Caenorhabditis elegans: one gene and its partner. The protein of the gene in region 2 interacts with the protein of the main gene of each other region in a pairwise test. Each region holds a gene or a part of one and is shown on either strand. Other genes may lie near its edges.

Region 1 (10,360 bases), on a different chromosome or scaffold from region 2:
GCATTTTTCTCAATAGTTTTTTATCTTTTTTTTTACATTAAATTTTTCCAAGTTTTGTAGGTGCTTTTTACAATGTTAAAATAAATGTTTAAAGGTTGTGTAGCCCCAGTTGGGAAAAGAAACTTCTGAACAGTAACTTCTACTTTTCACCAGCAAATATCTTTAATTGTCCAATGTGGAAACTCTGATTAACATCAAAAGGATACTGTAGTTGGTTGCCACGTCATCATGATCTCAACTGACAACTTGTGCAACTACAAACGTTCTCTTTTCAATACAATATATATATTTGTGCCATTTCCACTCCTCTGACTCATAAACTCATTTACGTGCATACGTCCGGTGAGTGCCACGTCATGGTGAACTGTTGCACATATTGGTTTTTTGTAAGAATATTCATTTTTGACGAGAGCGACGAAATTAATGATAAAAGATGGAGGACCACATGTATTGGTGAACTGAAGAAAAGGTCATTGGATTGACACTTAACGATCTGAGAATGTGGACGTTGTGTTTGTGTTTCGAAAAGATTGAACGATGTACTCAAATTGTAAGAGAAAAAAGATATGTATGAATAACTCATGACATATAAGTTTACTCTTTATTGTATTTTTAGTGTACTGTTGGTTTACTGTAGCTTTTAGGAAAGTTATTAAAATTTACTTGAGAATTATGGCTACTAGGAAAGAGAGCACAAATAGCGCTAAATTTTAATGTTATTGGAGAAACCATTGAGCCAGTGCATTGCTCAGTTTTTAACATTAAGGTAGATTTTGAAAAATCCCAATATAATAAAAATGTTTCAATTTTTCACATAAGGGGTTTTATTTTATATATTCTGGCGAACCAGAAATAGAAAATTGCTTGACTAACGCCTGTAAGGAAATTGTCAAAAACAATGGGATATACAGTGCTAAAATGACCAAATGATATAGTAAAACTTCGTTCCTGTGTATTAATTTAACTAGTACAACGTTTATATTTTAATCAGGATTTTTTTTATCTGTCTTAACATGGTAGTCGTTCGACATTGGTCTAAATTTATAGAAAAATAAAAAACATATCGAAACATTTGGCAATTTACCAAATCTTAAATATTTTGGAGTGTTTCTTTATAATATTTGGTAATACTATGTGTATTCAGACGAAACACAAACTGACGAAGAACATCACCAATTTCTTTTTGCCGGAAATACTATAAAAGCTCTAGGTAATCTAGGCGTTCACACGATTAACAATTCGTACCAAAATTAAAATAAAATAAAATGAAATAAGGCTCTACAGTATGCTCAGACATAAATTAAAAACTTTTCTAAATGCATATCAAGAAATTCCTGACCATAAATAATTTTTTAAAAAAATCAGCTCCTTTAATATATCTAAACTTCTTACATATATCTAAAGTAACTCAATAGTAGTTAAATCTTACCAAAAAAAAGTTAAAAATAATTGAAAACTCTCGCTTACCGTCCGAGTTGATTTTAATCACATCATCCTGATAAACGATTCGAAATCAATATCTTGAACTTTTGTTCCGTTTCGTTTTCAGGACGATGTCATATCTAGATCAACTCAAAATATCATAAGAATAAATAAAGAAAGCAGTAAAGTGATGTAGAATGAAACGAACAAGTGAACGGCCCTTCCCATTCTAAGAGGTCCTTTTATTGGCGCCATGTGTAATAGTGTAATAACTAAGAGACACTGAGAAACAGGTGGATGAGAAAAGGGCGCCGAACCGACTGGCTCCGCCTACTTTTCGGAAGATAATGTGCTCGTGAACGGGGAGTGGGGACGAAAAGGACGGAAGAAGAGAGGAACGGAGGACCAGATGAACGATGATGACTGCCGAATCGAAGGGAACAAAAAGGACAGATTTATATGCGAAGTGGCAGGAAAATTGAGGGGTACGATACAATATGGAAAAAAGCTAAAGAAGAAAAGAAGAAGAAGAAGCAAGGTGACGGGTGGCCAGAAAAAATAGTATGAAAAAAAGAAAATACGAATACCGTATTTCATAAATTGGAGGTAAATAACTATTTAATAGATTTTGTCTGAATGAAACTATAATACTCATAAATGAACAGTATAGCACTTTGAAATGTTTTAGATTTTCAAAAAAAAATTTGGACAAAGTTTCGGTAAATTGCTTTTTCTGAATATATAAATAATTTGAAAATAATTAGAATGGGAAAATTGTAGTTTTATTTTGTAGGGTGATATCCAAATTATGAGTGGCAAAATCTGAATTATCGTCACTTTATTTTTTTCTGCAAACTTTATTGAAAGGTTAGCAATGTACGATACTATATCGTTTTGGCACTTTTCAATATTTTTGGAAGCATTTTAACTTTTATTTCAATGGAATATGAACAATTTAAAAATAAAATTGGAAGAAACCATTTTTTTTTATCAAAAAATGATTGGTGAAAACTGTGTGTTTCAAAATTGTTAATATTCCACTTTTGAATAAGTAACATTTCAAAAAAGTTGATTAGAAAAAATTAAATTGTTACAAAAAAACGACAATTCCAAAAGTTTTGTAAGTTCCTGAAAAACAATTGCAAAATTATTAAGAGCACAAAATGCTGAAATATGCGTTTTTAAATAGTTATGTGTGTCCTTTTGTAACAACTTAATTCAAAATTAATTTTTTAAAGTGTTTGATGTGCAATACTATTATAGAATACCTTCAAGGATGCCGTCATAATAATAAAAGTAACTTTTTTGTGTTACTCAAATATAGGTTACGGTAGCTCCACGGGCATTTTAATGACAACTTACATAAAACTTCTAAACAATAAATTCGAATTATCGATCGGATTTATTTCACTCGACTTCATAAAGTTATAGAAACTAGAAGAATCATTACGACTTTAAAAAATATCCAAACGATTTGTACATATGCAATTGCAATTGTTAAGTATATATCTGATTGAACAGTCAGTTTTTTTTTTCTAATTCTGTGGTATACGTTTCAAAATTGTACATTTCCCCTTTTCATTCCTCCATTTATTGTAATAAATTTGAAAAATGTCTCTTTGTTTCGATTCAGACAAGCTATTTGCAAACCATGGTAACCGTTAACAACGGCAGTAAAATAAGAGGAAAAGTGCGCGGCGGGCTTGCAGAGGGCGTGTAACTCCTCCCCATAATTCGTGCGGGACTCTGCAAAATTGAATTTTCTTGTGCGCATGCGTTCCTTTCGAAGAAATATTTTAACTGGTTTTTACATTTTTCTCCTAATCGAGTTTTAAAATTAGTTGAATTATTCTTTTCTTCCTATTTCAGATATAAATACGTAGATTCTCCATCAGAAATGGGTAGAAAGAAGAAGAAGGTCGATAAACCATGGTGCTGGTGAGTTTTTAAAATAATTGTACTGTTCTTGAAGTTAAACTATTCAATTTAGGTATTGTAACCGAGAATTTGACGATGAAAAGATTCTGATACAACATCAAAAAGCCAAACATTTCAAATGTCATATTTGTCACAAAAAATTGTTCAGTGGTCCAGGATTATCGATTCACTGCATGCAGGTTAATTTTTTTTTGTTCTTGAAAAAAGAAGTCATTCGGTAATCCCACGAATTACAGGTACATAAAGAAACTATAGACAAAATACCGGCAGCTGTACATGGCAGAGATAATATCCACGTTGAAATTTACGGAATGCAAGGAATTCCGTCTGGCGCTTATCGTGGAGCAGCTGACGAAGAACCGGACGAAAAACGATCAAGGATGGACAATGGACCACCTATGCCAACTCCTATGCCTTTCCCACAGCATTTCCCATTTCCTGGAATGCCTCCTATGCCGTCGGGTGCGGAAAACATATTTAAGTTCCATTCTAAAAACGGTTGATTTTTTAGGTCCACCACCACCGTCAATGGCATACGGAATGCCTCCAATGCCATCTGGTATGATGCCACCTCGCGGGATGCCAGGAGCTTATCCTCCGCCACGTGGATACCCTCCAGCGCCAGCTCCTGGCGTGTATATGCCTCCGCCAGGAATGCCTGGTGCATATCCTCCACCACGTATGCCAATAGGTCATGGACCACCTGGTGGCCCACCCATGCCTGGTCCTCCTCAAAGAAGCCGATTTGATCAACCTGACGGCGGAGACAGGTGGGGTCCACCAATGCGAGGAGTACCACGGACGCCACCATATGAAAACGAGCATGGTGAGTTTATGGCATTCGTAAAAGCTTGATTTAGCAAGCTAATAAATTTCAGAACATCAAGATTATCAAGCTCCAGATGACTACAATCAAGGAGGATACGATGATCGGTTTAGAGAAGGTGATCGTGGAGGTCCACCGGGAGGTAGCCGATTTGATCAAGTGAAAGCTGAACTAAAGGAGGAAATCGTCGAGGTATATTCCTTGATTTCAAATAATGGGATTTCGATCGAGCTTTATTGATATTTCATAAAATAAAGTTAAATAAAACTTGTTTTTAATTTTAATATTTTAAGCCTAACAACGGTCCACCAACTACGTCTTCTGGTGCAGCTGCCGCTTCTGCTGCGGCAGTAGTTGCATCTAAACTTGGCTCGAGGACAAGAATAGTCTATCCAGATGATCATTCGCTGTCTCTAGAGGAGCGTCGTGTAAAAATGCTCTTCGAAAAACGCAGCAATCCCTATCACTGAGCACTTCCGAATCTCTTCTTCTTTCATGTCCCGCCCATTTACCTTATATTCTGTGTTTTACTGAAAATTGTCCTCTCGTCCATGTTAAATTATTGAATAATCCATCGATGGGTTTTTATTTTTGAAATTCCAAAAAAAAAAAGCAATTTTTATCAATTGAATAAATTATCACCCACAGTAAAAAAAGATTGAAAATGAAGAAAAAACATCAATATTGGTAAGAAAGAAGTAGATTATGCTCGCAAACTCGGAGAAACATTCGAGTTAAGTGAAAACATGAAATGCTATAAAAATTTGATGATAAAACAGCTGCATAAAGGAATAATAATTTAGAAAGAACGAGTTATAAAATGCAATAAGTAATTTTTAGTAAATATTTAATCTTCATCGACAAACGAAATAGTTCCCGCGTTTTTCATATATCTCTTATACCTTTTGTACCGACCCGATTGAGCCATTTTTTCTTGTTCCGCAGCGTCTCGTTCGGCTTTCCACGTTGCACAGTTTCGTTTCAGCCAGCATTCTCGTTCAAAAAGATCATCAATGTCTTCATCAGTGTACTTCTGAAAATTAAATTATTAACTTTTGATGATAGAAAAAAGTATTTACCTGATCGAATTCCATTTGTGAAACTCCAATGTACTTTCTAATGAGATAAAGCTTGGCGTCATCATCATATTCCTCCTTTTGAATTGCAAATCTCCAATACCAAAGTGCTGTCCATTTAATGTATCGGAATATCGTTAATGGGAAAATAATTGTGTGCCATGCGAGAGTATCGTAGATGGATTCTCGTTTGTAGCCACCCCTAAAATGTAGCTCAAATTATTTTACGAAAAATCTCAAGAATAACTGACGTGACATCAAGATTATCAATAATTATTTGCTTGATAACTTCATCATTGTCAACTCCTTTGTTCTTTTTTAATTTTCCATTCCGATCCATTTCCAGCAACTGAAAGCTAGATATTAATTACAGTGCAAGCTTAAAAATCGACCTACGCCTTTATCAATTCCATCTTTAATTGCCATATTGCGGAATTTTCCAACACCGGTTGCATATTCGATTGCTTCTGAGAACTTGTGTTTTGCAGAGAGGAATTGGAAGAGTGAAATGATAAGAATAGTTCCAACAATGACAATTCGAAGATCTACTTTTGGAGCGGCGCGAAGACGATAATATTGATAGTAATTGTAGAATCTTAAATAAAGAATATTTAAGTGTTCATATTCAGAGCGTCATACCTTTGATCAGGATGATCGAGATAATAGTCGTAATTAGTTTTTGCTTCATCATCCTTAAGTGTTTCATAAGCAGTGGCAATTACTCGGAAACGTTCTTCGGCGAGAAGCTTCTCTTCCTTATTCTTGACTCTATCTGGATGATGCTTCCTAGCCAGAGCTCTATATGCTTTAGCTAGCTTCTGCTTATCGAATTCCTCACGATTGACTTCGAGTACTGTAAATATGAATGCATTTATAGTTTTAACGTTTTCAGATCTTCATGAAAGTTTTGACTCACCATCATAACAGTTTTCTAATCCACAATAGAGCTCTGGAGCAAATCCGACCGATTCACATTCCTGGACGAAAAATGATACTAGTAAGAACAAGATGGGCGCCGCAATTGCTGAGCGCATTCTGCTGAAAAACAAAGATTGAGAAAAAATTTAAAAATGAGAACTGAAATATGAATCACCGAAAATCGGAAAATGAGAGAAAAACACAAATAATCATAGGTGAAATGTGACATGTTTATGAAGCAATCAACACCGGAAACAATGTAAACATTACGGATCAAAACCGATCTGATAGTGAGATTATGGAGTCAACATAAAATAAAAATAGTCATGTACAGTAAATGTGCAATAGAAAGTTTTAGGCGATACTTTGATCCTTTGATGCAGCATAATCACCGAAATACTTATTGTAATGCTCGTTGTCAATGTCAAGGAATGTAACAAGTACAATCCGTTCAATTGTATCATTCTTTTCAAGATACTCGGTCAGGAAATTGGTGACGGTTTTAGCGGCATCGTCATTTGGATAACCGTACACACCAGTAGAAATGCAACAGAAGGCCTGAAAATATATAATATTTGCAGTTATTTTTCAGATGAAACACTTACAATACTCTTCATCCCGTTCTCGATAGCAATATCTAGTGATGTTCTGTAACATGCAACAAGATTTTCACGCCGTTCATCTGTGACATTTCCATATACTTGTGGACCAACTGTGTGGATTATTTCTGAAAATTCCAATAAAATACGATCAAACAATGCTATAAATACTTACTTTTGATGTGATTAATATTGCATCCAGAGGTAATGACAGCATCTCCGACAGCACATCCGTTGTATTGCTGGCATTCTTCCTGTAGTTGCTTCCGTCCAGCTGCACGATGAATTGCACCATCAACGCCACCACCTCCAGCTAATCGACTGTTTGCTGCATTGACAATTGCGTCGACGGAAAGTTTAGTAATATCTCCATCCCAGACACTGATACGGCCCAGAACGTTTTTGGCAACCTTGACTGAAAATTGTGTACTATTTTAGAATTATGAAACGCCTGAAGCTTACATTTTTCAAAGAGAGTTGGAATTTCTGAAATTTTAGCTGCTGCCATTTTTTATCAGCCTTAAATTTGAACTGATAGTGACTTAAAAACAAAACAAATTAGGATAAAACAACGCGTGGAAGAAATTGTTCACGAGGACTACACGCAACATGGACTAGAATTTCGTGCGGCCGTGGCTGAGTTTTCTTATTTTTATGTTTCTCTCTCCAGAATTTTCTGTTTAATATCTTTTAATGTTGTTTCTTCGTTGTTTCTTTAATTAAATCTTTGAATTAAAAATAATTTAGAATGCCGGAACACACGAAAGTTTCTGCTGAAGACCAAGCGCTTCTCAATAAATTCGCTCGGTCATACCAAACACAAACCCAGTTAAAAGTACGTTTTTTTTTAAATTTTACATTAAAGTTTCTCTTCTTTAATTTCAGGCAGACGTTAAAGAAGCTAAAACACTCATTGACAATATCAATGAAGCAAGTGATGAAATTTTGTTGCTCGATGATGAGGATTCAGCATCAATTCCATGCAGAATTGGAAGCTGCTTCGTTCATTTCAATGGGGTGAGCAGTTTTTTTTTTAATTTGAATTGAGAATTAACGTTTGGTTTACACGAAAGTAGTGATTGGTTTTCAGGATAGTCTGAATGAGCATTTGGAAGGAAAGAAGACAACAGCAGAGAAGGTTTTGTCTGAGAAAACCTCCGAGTTGGATGCAATCTCAGCGGACATGGAGCAAATCAAGAAGGTTTTGTACGCCAAATTCGGAGATCAGATCAATTTGGACGCTGAAGAATAATCTATAAATTCTAATTTCTTATTTTGCTCGATTTTGTATCTTTTCCGTTGAAGCTTTCATATATAAAAATTATCTCAATTTAAAAATTGCTTTTCTCACCTTTTTCACAACGTGTGCTCACTGTTCACTGTTTCCGCGTATTTTGCTGATGAATTTTTTCGACCGATTTTCCTTATCACGAATGGCACCACCCACTTGTGGGTCACACCAGATCCTAAATATCAATATAGTGGACGGGAAGAGGAAGGTTTTTTCGTGTTTGGTGTTCATTTTAGTTTACATGTTTTGTTTCCCATTGCTCTTTATTTATAGAGGAGACGCTCGCCCACGTAATATAATAGCATTTTGGAAAAATCCATTATCTTTCAGACAATCTTATCATGATTTCCACAATAGACTGGCTAGAATGTAGCATTCTAAATATTTGAATTTAACAGAAAATATTCAATTTCTCTTTAAAAAAATACTTGAAAATTAATTATATTCCCAAATTGGCAACATTCTTTCCCGATTGTCTTTCTGTCCATTTAATTTGTCTGCCCTTTCTTTTCTCACCTTTTTTATCCGTTTCTTTCTTTGTCACCTCCGAAGTTTTGTCAGCATTTTCCGTTTTTTTCTCCTCATATTTTGTTTGCACTTTTCACCTTCTAAAAAAATGATCGGCAGAGACACAAATAAATGTGGCCATTCGTGTGCTCCGTTTTCCAAATGAAACCCGATTGGCAGAATTTATGGTTGAAAATGCATAGTTATTTAGGAGTTGCAAAGAACAGTTTTCATTCTTCTTTTTCTTTGTCTTCTTGTTAATTTGGTAAACTGATCAGACGTTAATCAAATTGATAAACTTTCAAGTTCAGTGATTTTTGATTTGTTTTCTGAAAACGAAATTAGTTTTTTCTCTGATAGACTAAGTCTTCGAAGAATTCATCTTCCAGATAAAATCCAAAAAAAATGTGTTCCAGAATATCCTAGTCGGTCAACTAAAAGTCAAGAACCATAGATTAAATCTAGAGTTACAAAGTTTCGTCTCTTCTCCAGAGTCAAGTTACTCGAGTTTTTATGTTTCCTAGAGAAATACATTGTTTCTTTTCATTGTCGATCAATGTCGCCCAGAGAACATTATTTGTCATGGTTACCACTCGCACACACTACACAATTTCATTCAGTCATCATTTTTTGTGACCCGAGAAGATTTCAGTAAATATTTTCATGTTTGTAAAGAGACTGGCGCATCCACTTTTCTCTTACTGTTTCTTTCTTCTCTCGCTGCCCTGTGAAAAAAATGGAAGTGGAGTAAAAAGTGACCGATTTATAGTGTTGTTCCAGTTGTTCCAATTCATTTATATTGTAGACTGCGGTTCGCTACTAGGTATATGATTCGAAAGGAAAAATTACATTTTTTAGTGCTAGAAATTAACATTATTCCATTAAATGTAACTAGCTGAAAGTAAGCAGTTTATTACTCTGCCAGTAAAAAAGAATTGCGCAGAATCATTATGAAGTACATCAATATATCAATTAACGTATTTCTTTTTGATTTTTCGTTGTATAAATGAAACAATAATCTCACTTTTAAATAACATTTATGTGTATCTAGATGGTTTACTTTGAAACTTGTAGTTTCTACTATTTACCTCTCAACACGAGTAATTTTTGTGAATCAATGTTCGTCATTCTCACTTCAAAATCTAGTTTATAAATTTACAGAAATGGCATGCAAACGTCATTCAGTGTCCGATCCCATTTCGAAGGATCTCGTCGAGTGTCTTCGTGAATCAATGCAAAGAGATCTCAAATTTGAGACTCCGTACGTTTTCGTGATATTTGGAGCATCGGTATGACATCTATTCCATATATATCGATTATTAATTATTTAACATTTTTTCAGGGAGATCTCGCAAAAAAGAAAATATACCCAACACTGTGGTGGTTGTTCCGTGACAACCTTTTGCCAGTCAACATCAAATTTATTGGATATGCCCGTTCCGATCTGACAGTTTTCAAGCTTCGTGAATCTTTTGAGAAAAACTGTAAAGTTCGAGAAAATGAGAAATGTGCTTTTGATGACTTCATCAAGAAGTGCTCATACGTTCAGGTAAATCTACATCTGCTAATAAATAGGCGTGAAACTTTGTTCCAAAAATACAGTGCTCGGTCTCGACACCACAAATTTGTGTTAAATGCGAAAACGTATCACCTTTAAACAGTACTGTAGCTTCAAGCTTTTGTCGATTTCAGATTTTAAAAAAATTGTTTTAAAACTGAAAAAAAATAATTGCAACACATACATTTTTTTTACAAATCAGGTAGGAAAACTACGAAAACCAAC
Region 2 (10,321 bases):
TCGCAATTGTTTTCAAAAACCATTTTTGCGCCAAAAATTCGATCGACACGCTTATTTTTGGAGGCACCACGGTTTCAAGATCTGATGGGATTCCGGATCTACGTTTTCCGGATCTACGTTTTCCGGATCTGGCACCGTGCCAACGCACAAAACGCTTTTCAACGCACGACTTTTTTCGAAATTTTCTTCTAGAAGAAACGCTTAACAACACGCGACGCGTAACATCGGAGCGTCGTTGTCAATTTTTTCCTCGAAAAAATAGCGTTTCATAAGTTGGCACGGTGCCAGATCCGGAAAACGTAGATCCGGAAAACGTAGATCCGGAAATGGTCGATCCGGAAAACGTAGATCCGGAATCCCACCAGATCTTGAAACCGTGGTGTCTCTATTTTTGTAAAAAAAAACAAATATGTGTGTGCCTTGAAAGAGTACTGTAGTTTCAAACTTTTGTTGCTGTGAAATTTTTATCTATTTTTCATAGTTTTCTATTGTTTCTTTAAATAAATGCGCATATTTATGACGAAAAAATACGAAAATCCCACAAAATGAAAGTTTGGAACTACTCTTTAAAGACGCCTATTGTTTTTGATTTTACAACAAAGCAAAAAGGTTTTCGGCGCGAAAATCGCAAAATATCGGGGTTCTGGCGGTTTTTTTGACAACCAGAATACTGGAAATGTCGATGCAAATTAAGGAAAATCAATGAGAAGAAGTGAATTTGGCCTGAAGAAGTGAAAAAGTCATTTTCAAAAAAGTGTCCATATTCTACAGATGGCTCAAAAATTAGCCATTCCAGAAAACAAAACTATTTTTCTAAAGAACACAATTGTTTCCCTTGTTTCTCGGGGGGTCCAAAGAAATCAAAAATATCCAAGAGCCGTTTCACAACTTTCTTGAAGCCAAGGGTGCACACAAAAAACTGAAAATATGTAGAATTGGTTCCCATCAAATTAATTTATTGAAAATCAAAAAGGCTTTTTGCACATTTCGATGAATAATTGTTTTTAAAAAAAACAGCTCAAAATAATAAACCGAAGAATCAGATTTATCTACTTTAAATTAAAACAATCACTGATGCAGCAGTAAGTCAATCAGGTGTGTAATATAAAGCATTTCTGATGATCAATAGAATAGTTCAAACAACTTTTAGATTTTTTTTTCCTTTTTTAATGTTTAGTGCACCCTTGATTGAAACTACTGTTATCACCAAAAACGCAGATTTTTTTCATTTTCTGACTTTCGTGGTCATACTCCAATGCAATAAAATATGGCTCTTTGATGTATTTCCGATGAGATTATTTATGTTATCGTACTAAATGTATTCACAAATGGATATGATGACGTAGGAAGAGATCTAGAAGATTAGATGAGGGCGTTTTGGCATCAGGTGCCAATGAAAACGTATAAAAAAGTTTTATGTGTGTGAAGAGTGGAACGGAATTGAAGAGAAAGCTGCATTTGAAAAGAAAAATAAACGTTTTTTTTTTGTATAAATAGAGCAATTTCTTACTTTCTATATAGAAAACACAGAGAACTTTTGAATAGAAAGCAACGTTTCAAAGATGAATCATATTATGACGATTTCACCGAATTTATTTTCGCATAGCTAAACAAGGAAATATAAAGAATGATGAAGTGAACGGTGCATTATTTCAATTTTTGGATTACTGTTTCAGGAATTTTAAATTGAATAATGAATTTGAATAAAACTTTTAGACATATTTGATTTCATATTATACATTTTTCTAAATTTTTAGAATGATTTTTTCCGAAATTCCCTCGCATTAATCTATATTTTTAATATTTAATTTGAAACATTTTTTGCCAAATTTTCATCAATTTTCCGTGAGGGAAACTTGATAACCTGAAAGAAATTGAGATAAAAACAATAACATGGAATTTTTAATTTTCGAAACTAGGTGATTCATTTTTGCGGGAATTCGAAATTAATTCAACATTTTAATTTTTGCTAAATTAAAAAAGATTATTAGAAATATTTAGAAAAATTGTATTTTCAAAAAATTTGACAGTATTTACGATCCATTTTTTTTTTGTTAAAACACATTCCTCAACTTATATTACTTAATTAATTATTTAATCATTAAGGCAAGAGAAATTTGATAAAATTGGAAAAAAATCAATTTTTGAAGCTTGGAGGCTTTTATGGAAAATGTATGAAAAAGTAAAATTGTTTGGATCACCGAAACGGGCCATAACAACCGATTATCCAAGATTTCCGTTTCGGAAAACGAAGAAAATGTTAGAGAGTAGTTGAGCGAAACAAAAAAATGAGAGAAAGGTTTCCTTTTTTCTCAGCGTCTAGTAATTTTTCTCGTGGGGATTTTCGATACTCTATCGTTGTCAGAATAGTCAGACGACGAATAACAAGATGGCAAATTGACGTCACGTGGGGGGAAAGCTGATTCATTGTAAATTCTGTTACGATTAAATAAAAATCATATAAAATGGATATGAGTTTGAATAACACTAACTGAAAAAAACCCTAGTAGGAAAAAATAGTTCAAAGGAATTTCTTCACGATGAAAAAGAGTTCCAGTGCCAAAGCGAGTTCAGCAGGAGCTTTCTAACATCTCTACCCACCCTCTTCATCCTGTTACACTATTTCGTCTCACGGAGAATATTGATTTTGACGAGAAAGAGACGAAAAGATGCGCACACAGACACACGCACATGCGAGAAGGCTGTCAATGAGAAGAGAATCAACCCTCGAGACACACAAATACTGAGTTCCTACTGGTTTTGAACTTGTAACGCCGTTTTTTTTCTGAATTTTTGAGATGGCAATGGAGGGAGGGGTAATTTTAATTTGGCAGCAAGCTGCGCCATGGTTTGTCGCGAGAAAGCTCGTTTAGAGTTTATGAAGCGCAGGCGTCATAGAACACTGGCAAAAAATCTCCTAACTTTTGTTTTTAATTAAAATTAATTAATTTATGTTTTTTTTAATAAGAAACAATCTAAATATTACCTAGATTTGTTATTTATGTAAGTTCTATTAAAAGTTGAATTTGAACAAGAAAATTGGGCAAACACGAGTTTTCCCATTGACCACGAAACTCTGTTATCATTGAAAATCAGAATTTAAAAAAAAAGAAAATACGCAGAGAAACAGTCTGATTGGGTAAAGCGATAGTGGAACACGAGACCCGAAAAAATAACAAAATTCTAGTCTTTGAAACTTCAAAATAGGATGTTACAAATGTAAGGTTCTCGTCAAAATAGTACGGAAACTTGTTTTACGTAACTAGCGTCATGTTTTTAAATGATAAAATGAAAAAGGAAGTCACTAATGGTTCGAAAATTGGAAATGTTTTGAAGAAGTGAGTTATTACTTTTTGATGTAATGCTCAAGCCTGGGCTCTAAATGTATAAATTCGATCTACGACAACACGAAAGCTTAAAATTGTTGAAATGAAGGCAAACAATTGCCAATTTAAAAACAAAATTGTATGTGCTAGTGACAGCACGTGATTTTGAAAACCAATAACAAAATGAGAGGAGCGAGGCATCTGAACTCAGATTTTTATCAGCTAGATTCTGTGGAGGTTGACGGGAGAAACAGCATCATTGATTGTTGTTTCCACCTGTTTTGTTCATTTTTAACATTAACCACCTAATCCAGGAGATTGTCAGGGAAAACCTACGAAGAACATTTTTTCATGTAAGAAATGTAGGTTAAATTGATAAAAAATTAATTTACAGAAATAGGAGACATCTTGACGAAAAACAAAGAAACGAATTGAACCAACTCTAGAAACAGAATGGTTTGTCTTCAAACCAGCGCGTTTTATTTTCACTGATGGAGCGATCTAAAATAAGTCGGAACAATAATCTACATTGAAAATTGTTTAGATGGATTCTGGGTCGGCGTCGACTCCCTTGAACCAGTGTCCGCACTCGCATCTCTTTGGATCTCCTTTGCGAATTGTCATGAAATTGACATGTCCGGAATCTTGCTCACCTGAAAAATAGTTGTTTAATTGAATCAATCATGCTTTTAAATATAACTTACACATGCATCCAATGATTCTGAAGTCGTAGTGAGATGGGACCAAATTTGGCTTCTGCTTGGTGGAAGCCTCAGCGCGATAGTAGACTTTTGGCTCGTAACGCTGAAGAATGAAACTTTTATTATTTAACTTTGAAAAGATGAAGAAATAGTAGATAATTTGCCACTTTTACTAAATGGGTTTCATTTTGTAAACACTTTCTCATTAAAAACCAGTATTAGATACGATAACGACTCAAATTGCAAATCTCCCTCAGATCAGCTTCGACAAAGTTCGTTCAATACGACTCACACTTCAAGACAAAATCTCGAGAGCGAAGTAGCTCACAATTAGCTAAATTGATACATCATGGGGTATACTTTGGAAATTATTGGGAAAATTGTTAAATTTTATTAACAAAAACTCACATCATCTCCAGCAAGACGAGCGAGAAGCATCTTCTTTTCACGTCCGGTAGCGTGCTCAAGTGGATCTGGGTAGTATCCGTAGTCTTCTGGCGAGGCTTCAGTGGCCAAAGTACGACGGGCCACGGCAGCTGGAGCGACGAGCTTCTTCGAAAGGGCGGCAACAGCCGTCTTAGCAAGTTGAGCCATCTGAAAAATACAATTGTATTTCTCAAGTATCAAAAACGACTAAATATAAATTCGATTTCGAATGAAGAAAATTATCGATCGGGAGTCTAAAAATCAAAAAAGGAAGGTGGCCTTATTGAAATAGGGTTAAATTAAAAGATAAACCTCTTGAAAAATCAGAAATTTTTTGAAGAACACTTATATTCTGATTGGACCCTTGAAAATGCGAACAATAGCCGAAAAGAGCCAAAAACGCTTGGCACGATTTACGGAGCCTCAGTGGCGGGCGTACACTCGGCGTACACTCGGCATACACTACGCGCGTCTGTTGCAACGCACAAGACGCTCCTCAATACGAAACACCGTAATGCGAAGAGGATTTGAATTCGTTTCGTCCACTAGGCGCGCTCGGGAGAAATTTTCACTTTTTTTGGCGCGAAACAGACGACAATAGGATTGGGAGATGGCTGTCATTCTTTCTCATTTTTCGCTTCTCAATCGCTCGTATTCTCTCTCTTCGATTTGCTCCTAAAATGGAGTTGTTTGAAAGTTGACTCGTTGTCTACACATGCTGTAAATATTGAGCCACATTTTATTGTTTGTTAACAAATTTTCTTGATTATATTGCAACTTGTGTGTTCAATAGAATCTTTAGTTTTAGGGAATTCGTTTCTCCAGCGGCTAATAAAATCATTATAGATTTGCATTTCGGCTTCTACTTTAGTTACGTGCTATTGCTTGTGATGTTTTTAATTTTTATTTATTTTATCATAGCTTATTTACTGAAACTTAAACTTCGTTTTATTATTTTTTGCATTGAAATCTGAATCGTCCCGATGAATATTTGCATTTTCATGAATAGGACATCCAAGCGTCTATATCATGAACATCGGATTAAGGTTTAGTGGAGAACCTATTTCGCAATATACACCAGATGGCCACTACTAGTCATGTCCACCGAGGAATAGGGTCGCCGCTGTCCTTGGCCAATCGGACAAGCGTCGCTCGTTCCTCTCTCTGACCCGGCACTGCCTCTCTGACCAGTTTCATCCAAGTGACAGATGTCTAGAGCAAGGCAGAAAAGATTGTCGTCTTTAGTCTTCCAATTTGAGTTGTTTTACCCTTTCCTCGCACCAGAATATCTAATGACGAAGAGCTCTGTTTTCTTTCCCAGCCCGACTTTCATTTCTCATTTGACTAGATGCATAGAACCCAATAGGGTTTGACTGCTGTGTATGTACCACGATGCAATGGGCGTAATTGCTCTCTGTTTTCAACGGTCCGAGTCTTTTTCGCTATTTCGCAATACTCTTGAGAGCTAGCATTTCATATGTATGCAATTGGGTTTGTTTCATTTGGAGGCTCATAAATTTTATATCCCAAACCTTCTCCATCTCGTTAACTAATGTAAGTTCCTGGTTTTGTTTTTATTTACTTGTTGTAAACCTTGTACCAAGTTTATATCTGGTTTATTGCCCTGAAAACTATTCAGCCGGAATTGTCAACAGGATTATTTATAATTGAGTTGACCTTGTTTCCTAGTTGATCGACTCCTATGATTTTATCATTCGTACTTTACGCCATATGTTATCCGCGTTCATTTATGATTTCATTTCTTCTAATTTCCGTTAATTTTCAGGTTCGTTTTCAACATGCGTGAGGTCATCTCCATCCACGTCGGACAAGCCGGAGTCCAAATCGGTAATGCTTGCTGGGAGCTCTACTGTCTCGAGCATGGAATCCAGCCCGATGGAACTATGCCATCAGACCAACAAGCCGATGGAGAATCTTTCACCACCTTCTTCTCCGATACTGGAAACGGAAGATATGTTCCAAGATCGATTTTTGTAGATCTTGAGCCAACTGTTGTTGGTAAGCAATAATAAAAACCGTTTCAAATTCAAATTTGTTTTTTTTTTCAGATGAGATCCGCACTGGAACCTACAAGAAGCTGTTCCATCCAGAACAGATGATCACCGGAAAGGAAGATGCCGCCAACAACTACGCTCGTGGTCACTACACCGTCGGAAAGGAACTGATCGACACTGTTCTCGACAGAATCCGTCGCCTCGCTGACAACTGCAGTGGTCTTCAAGGATTCTTCGTCTTTCATTCATTCGGAGGAGGAACTGGATCTGGATTCACCTCATTGCTTATGGAGCGCCTCTCGGTTGACTATGGAAAGAAGTCGAAGCTGGAATTCTCCATCTACCCAGCCCCACAAGTCTCGACTGCCGTCGTTGAGCCATACAACTCTATACTGACGACTCACACCACCCTCGAGCACTCCGACTGTGCGTTCATGGTCGACAACGAGGCTATCTATGATATCTGCCGCAGAAACCTCAGCGTTGACCGTCCAAGTTACACCAACCTGAACCGCATCATCTCGCAGGTTGTGTCTTCCATCACCGCTTCCCTCCGTTTCGATGGAGCTCTCAATGTTGATCTCAATGAGTTCCAAACCAACTTGGTCCCATATCCAAGAATTCATTTCCCATTGGCTGCGTACACTCCACTGATCTCTGCTGACAAGGTATACATTTTTAATGTCAAATTGTTAAAAAAGTAATGATTTCAGGCTTACCATGAGGCTCTCTCTGTCAATGACATCACCAACAGTTGCTTCGAGCCAGCCAACCAAATGGTGAAGTGCGATCCACGCCACGGAAAGTACATGGCTGTTTGCCTCTTGTACAGAGGAGATGTCGTTCCAAAGGACGTCAACACTGCCATCGCCGCCATCAAGACCAAGAGAACCATTCAATTCGTTGACTGGTGCCCAACTGGATTCAAGGTCGGAATCAACTACCAGCCACCAACTGTTGTTCCAGGAGGAGATCTCGCCAAGGTACCACGTGCCGTATGTATGCTCTCCAACACCACCGCCATCGCTGAAGCCTGGTCTCGCTTGGACTACAAGTTCGATCTTATGTACGCCAAGCGCGCCTTCGTTCACTGGTACGTCGGAGAAGGAATGGAGGAGGGAGAGTTCACCGAGGCTCGTGAAGACTTGGCTGCTCTCGAAAAGGACTACGAAGAGGTCGGAGCTGACTCGAACGAGGGAGGAAACGAGGAGGAAGGAGAAGAGTATTAAACTCGTGCCGCCTGCTCCAATCTGCATAATACTGAACTCGCATCAATTTCTGCTTAATTCGCTTCTTTTTATTTTTTTCTAAATTTTGAATGAAAAGAGTTCCAATTTCTATGCTCATCGCTTGTGTTGTATACGATAAATTATTTCGAATCAATTACCATAGTTAACGTTTTCATCTGAAATTGTAGACAGATTTAGATTTTCATTTAGATGTCGGACGAAAAGATTTCAATGACGCTTAACTTCCCGAAACACAAGCGGGCTCGAAGAAAGAAATATCAGAAGGAGTATCAGGAACGTCACAAGGAAGAAATGATGCAGCAATTAGGAAGAAGATTTCAAAATCAACCATCAACTTCAAGTGCCCCACCTGATACTGTTGAAAAAATTCCATTGCCTACTGAATCAACGTCAGCATTGCCATTTGGAGATTCTCCAAGATTAACAGAAAAAGATTATGAGACGAATTATATGATAGATCCTCCAGTTGTTTCTACACATTCGGCAGAGCTTATAAAATCGAATAGAGTTGTTATAAAAGCAGAAGAAGCTGAAAAATATATGATGGTACGATTTAACCGTTTTCGTTTTTATAAAAATGTGGTTTTTTATTTCAGATCAAAGCTAAATCAACAACAAGTAAAATACTTCAAGATTTTCAAACTAAAATTCTGGAAACTGTTAAAACAAAACGTCGACTTCAAGCTGATGTTCCTTATATAATTCATCCATGTCATTCAATGAAAGGCCGGAAAACGCCAAAACAGAAAGGAGGAGACGAAAGTTTTACGGCATCTGATGTGTCTGATGACTCGAACGATTCTCAGGATGAAGCTTCTACTTCAGAGCCAACAAACAGACAAGCTCCTGAAGCGGACAAGACCGGAGAAGTAAAAGATGAGAAACAGACATGTAATCGGAGGAATCAACAGAGAAAGTATGCAGCTTCTCTAAAATACCCATGTTAATTTTTTAAGATAAACGCAAAAATTTCGATGTTTGCTGCAAAAATACCGTGTCTGGTCTCGACACGACAATTTCTTGTTGAATGCAATGTGCGCGCCTTTAGAGTACTGTACTTTCAAACTTGTGTTTTTGCAGAATTTTCATCGATTTTTCGATACAGATTTGTTTTTTTTTTTCAAACTGAAATGAAACATTAAATCACACATGATTTTGTGGGAAAACTATGAAAATTCAAAAATATCGGCTACCATATTTTTGGCACAAAAAAATGCTGCCTCTTGTAATTTTCAATTGTTCTTGTTTAAGAGCGAAAAGATTGCGGAATTTCGAAGAAAAGGAACGGCAAATCACACTTTTGAAAAAAGGAATTGATCGAAAGAAGACTCATCCAAATGGAATTCATCCGGATATCTCATTCAATGAAAAAGGTTTGGGAAACGAAGGACCAGAGTGTAGATGTCCAGAACCAATAAAAACTTGTGGCCTGAAACATGGATATTATGCAGGTGAAGATAAGGCTATAGATTGCAAGAAAAGGTAATTTTATTTTAGAATTTTAAAAATAAAAATGATTTTTTTTCAGCAATGGCGAAAACCTGCATTATTACACCCTTCGAGTCACACCTTTGCCAAGCGAAAATCAACTTTATAGAACACATATGGCAATAAATGGAGAGGAATTTGAATTTGAAGGATTCTCATTAATCACACATGCACCACTTCCGGATTGTATGACAAGAGCACCAATTTGTAAATATAGTATGGATTATGAATTTCAGTTGGTTGAAGAATTTATGCCTGATGAGGTGAGTGAAAAAATATTTCTTTTCAAAATATTAAATGTTAATTTTAAATTTCAGTGTTTCGACCCAGAAGATTGTGACATGCTGTTTGAGTATATATTTCATGAAATATTTGAAATGCTCGATTTTGAACTACGTCCGAAGCATATACCATCTGATGTTGAATCTTGTCCAATGATCCATATTATGCCGCGTTTTGTTCAAACAAAGGATGATCTTGTTCAACTTTGGTCTTCAAAAACAGTTCTTGCATATTTCACGAGCAAAGGAAGTTCAGAGATAATGAGCCCAGAAGATGTTAACCGCCTTTGTGATGCTCAAATTGATCAGTTCACTCGAAATACTTCGAAGCATAAGCAATCGATTGTTCTCAATACAAAATTCAAACCTTCTGCTATCAGAGCCGATTGGTTTGAGAGAGATGAAGAAAAGAAAGAAGTATATGTTGTACATAATGCGATCCGTGCACAGACATATACAGCAATTTCGCTTCCAAGAATCGCATTTCTCGAGAAAACATTAAATAAGATGATACAAGAGAAACAAAGCAGTGGTGTTTATAATAAAGATTTTGAGAAAACGAAGAACGAGCTGGAACATCTGAAAAGAGAGAATCGATCAGCTCGAAATCTGAAGCTTCGGGAGCCAGTAGCTGGATTCATTGAAACAGGATTGAAGCCTGATGTGGCAGCACATGTTGTCATGACAATACTTGCATGCCATCATATTCGATACAATTTTTCATTGGATGTATTTGAAGAAGTCATCGAATATAAATTCAACGATAGAAGAGTCATCGAATTAGCGTTAATGCATTCGTCGTTTAAAAGTCATTATGGTACTCCAATTGATCAC

Evidence for each region.
Region 1: the proteins of tba-1 (region 2) and dnj-2 interact in a two-hybrid assay, tested with the Caenorhabditis elegans proteins (one large-scale study listed by BioGRID).

Annotation. Positions count from the first base shown.
Region 1 is NC_003282.8:11,307,681-11,318,040, forward strand, and holds dnj-2 (DnaJ homolog dnj-2), read right to left. Parts: upstream 6,301-10,360; 5' UTR 6,297-6,300; coding exon 6,179-6,296; intron 6,116-6,178; coding exon 5,902-6,115; intron 5,858-5,901; coding exon 5,659-5,857; intron 5,612-5,658; coding exon 5,514-5,611; intron 5,465-5,513; coding exon 5,266-5,464; intron 5,220-5,265; coding exon 5,034-5,219; 3' UTR 4,754-5,033; downstream 1-4,753. Other genes in the region: znf-207 (BED-type domain-containing protein), read left to right, coding at 3,320-3,360, 3,413-3,539, 3,597-3,822, 3,872-4,186, 4,239-4,378, 4,480-4,656; B0035.3 (Macro domain-containing protein), read right to left, coding at 6,535-6,738, 6,786-6,907, 6,955-7,194, 7,242-7,287; pfd-4 (putative prefoldin subunit 4), read left to right, coding at 7,528-7,614, 7,665-7,796, 7,870-8,031; gspd-1 (Glucose-6-phosphate 1-dehydrogenase), read left to right, coding at 9,741-9,866, 9,920-10,126.
Region 2 is NC_003279.8:9,783,309-9,793,629, reverse strand, and holds tba-1 (Tubulin alpha chain), read left to right. Parts: upstream 1-6,005; coding exon 6,006-6,007; intron 6,008-6,239; coding exon 6,240-6,472; intron 6,473-6,522; coding exon 6,523-7,136; intron 7,137-7,181; coding exon 7,182-7,697; downstream 7,698-10,321. Other genes in the region: cox-5B (COX5B-domain-containing protein), read right to left, coding at 3,867-3,979, 4,031-4,130, 4,436-4,621; drsh-1 (Ribonuclease 3), read left to right, coding at 7,908-8,264, 8,315-8,634, 8,970-9,200, 9,247-9,469, 9,524-10,321.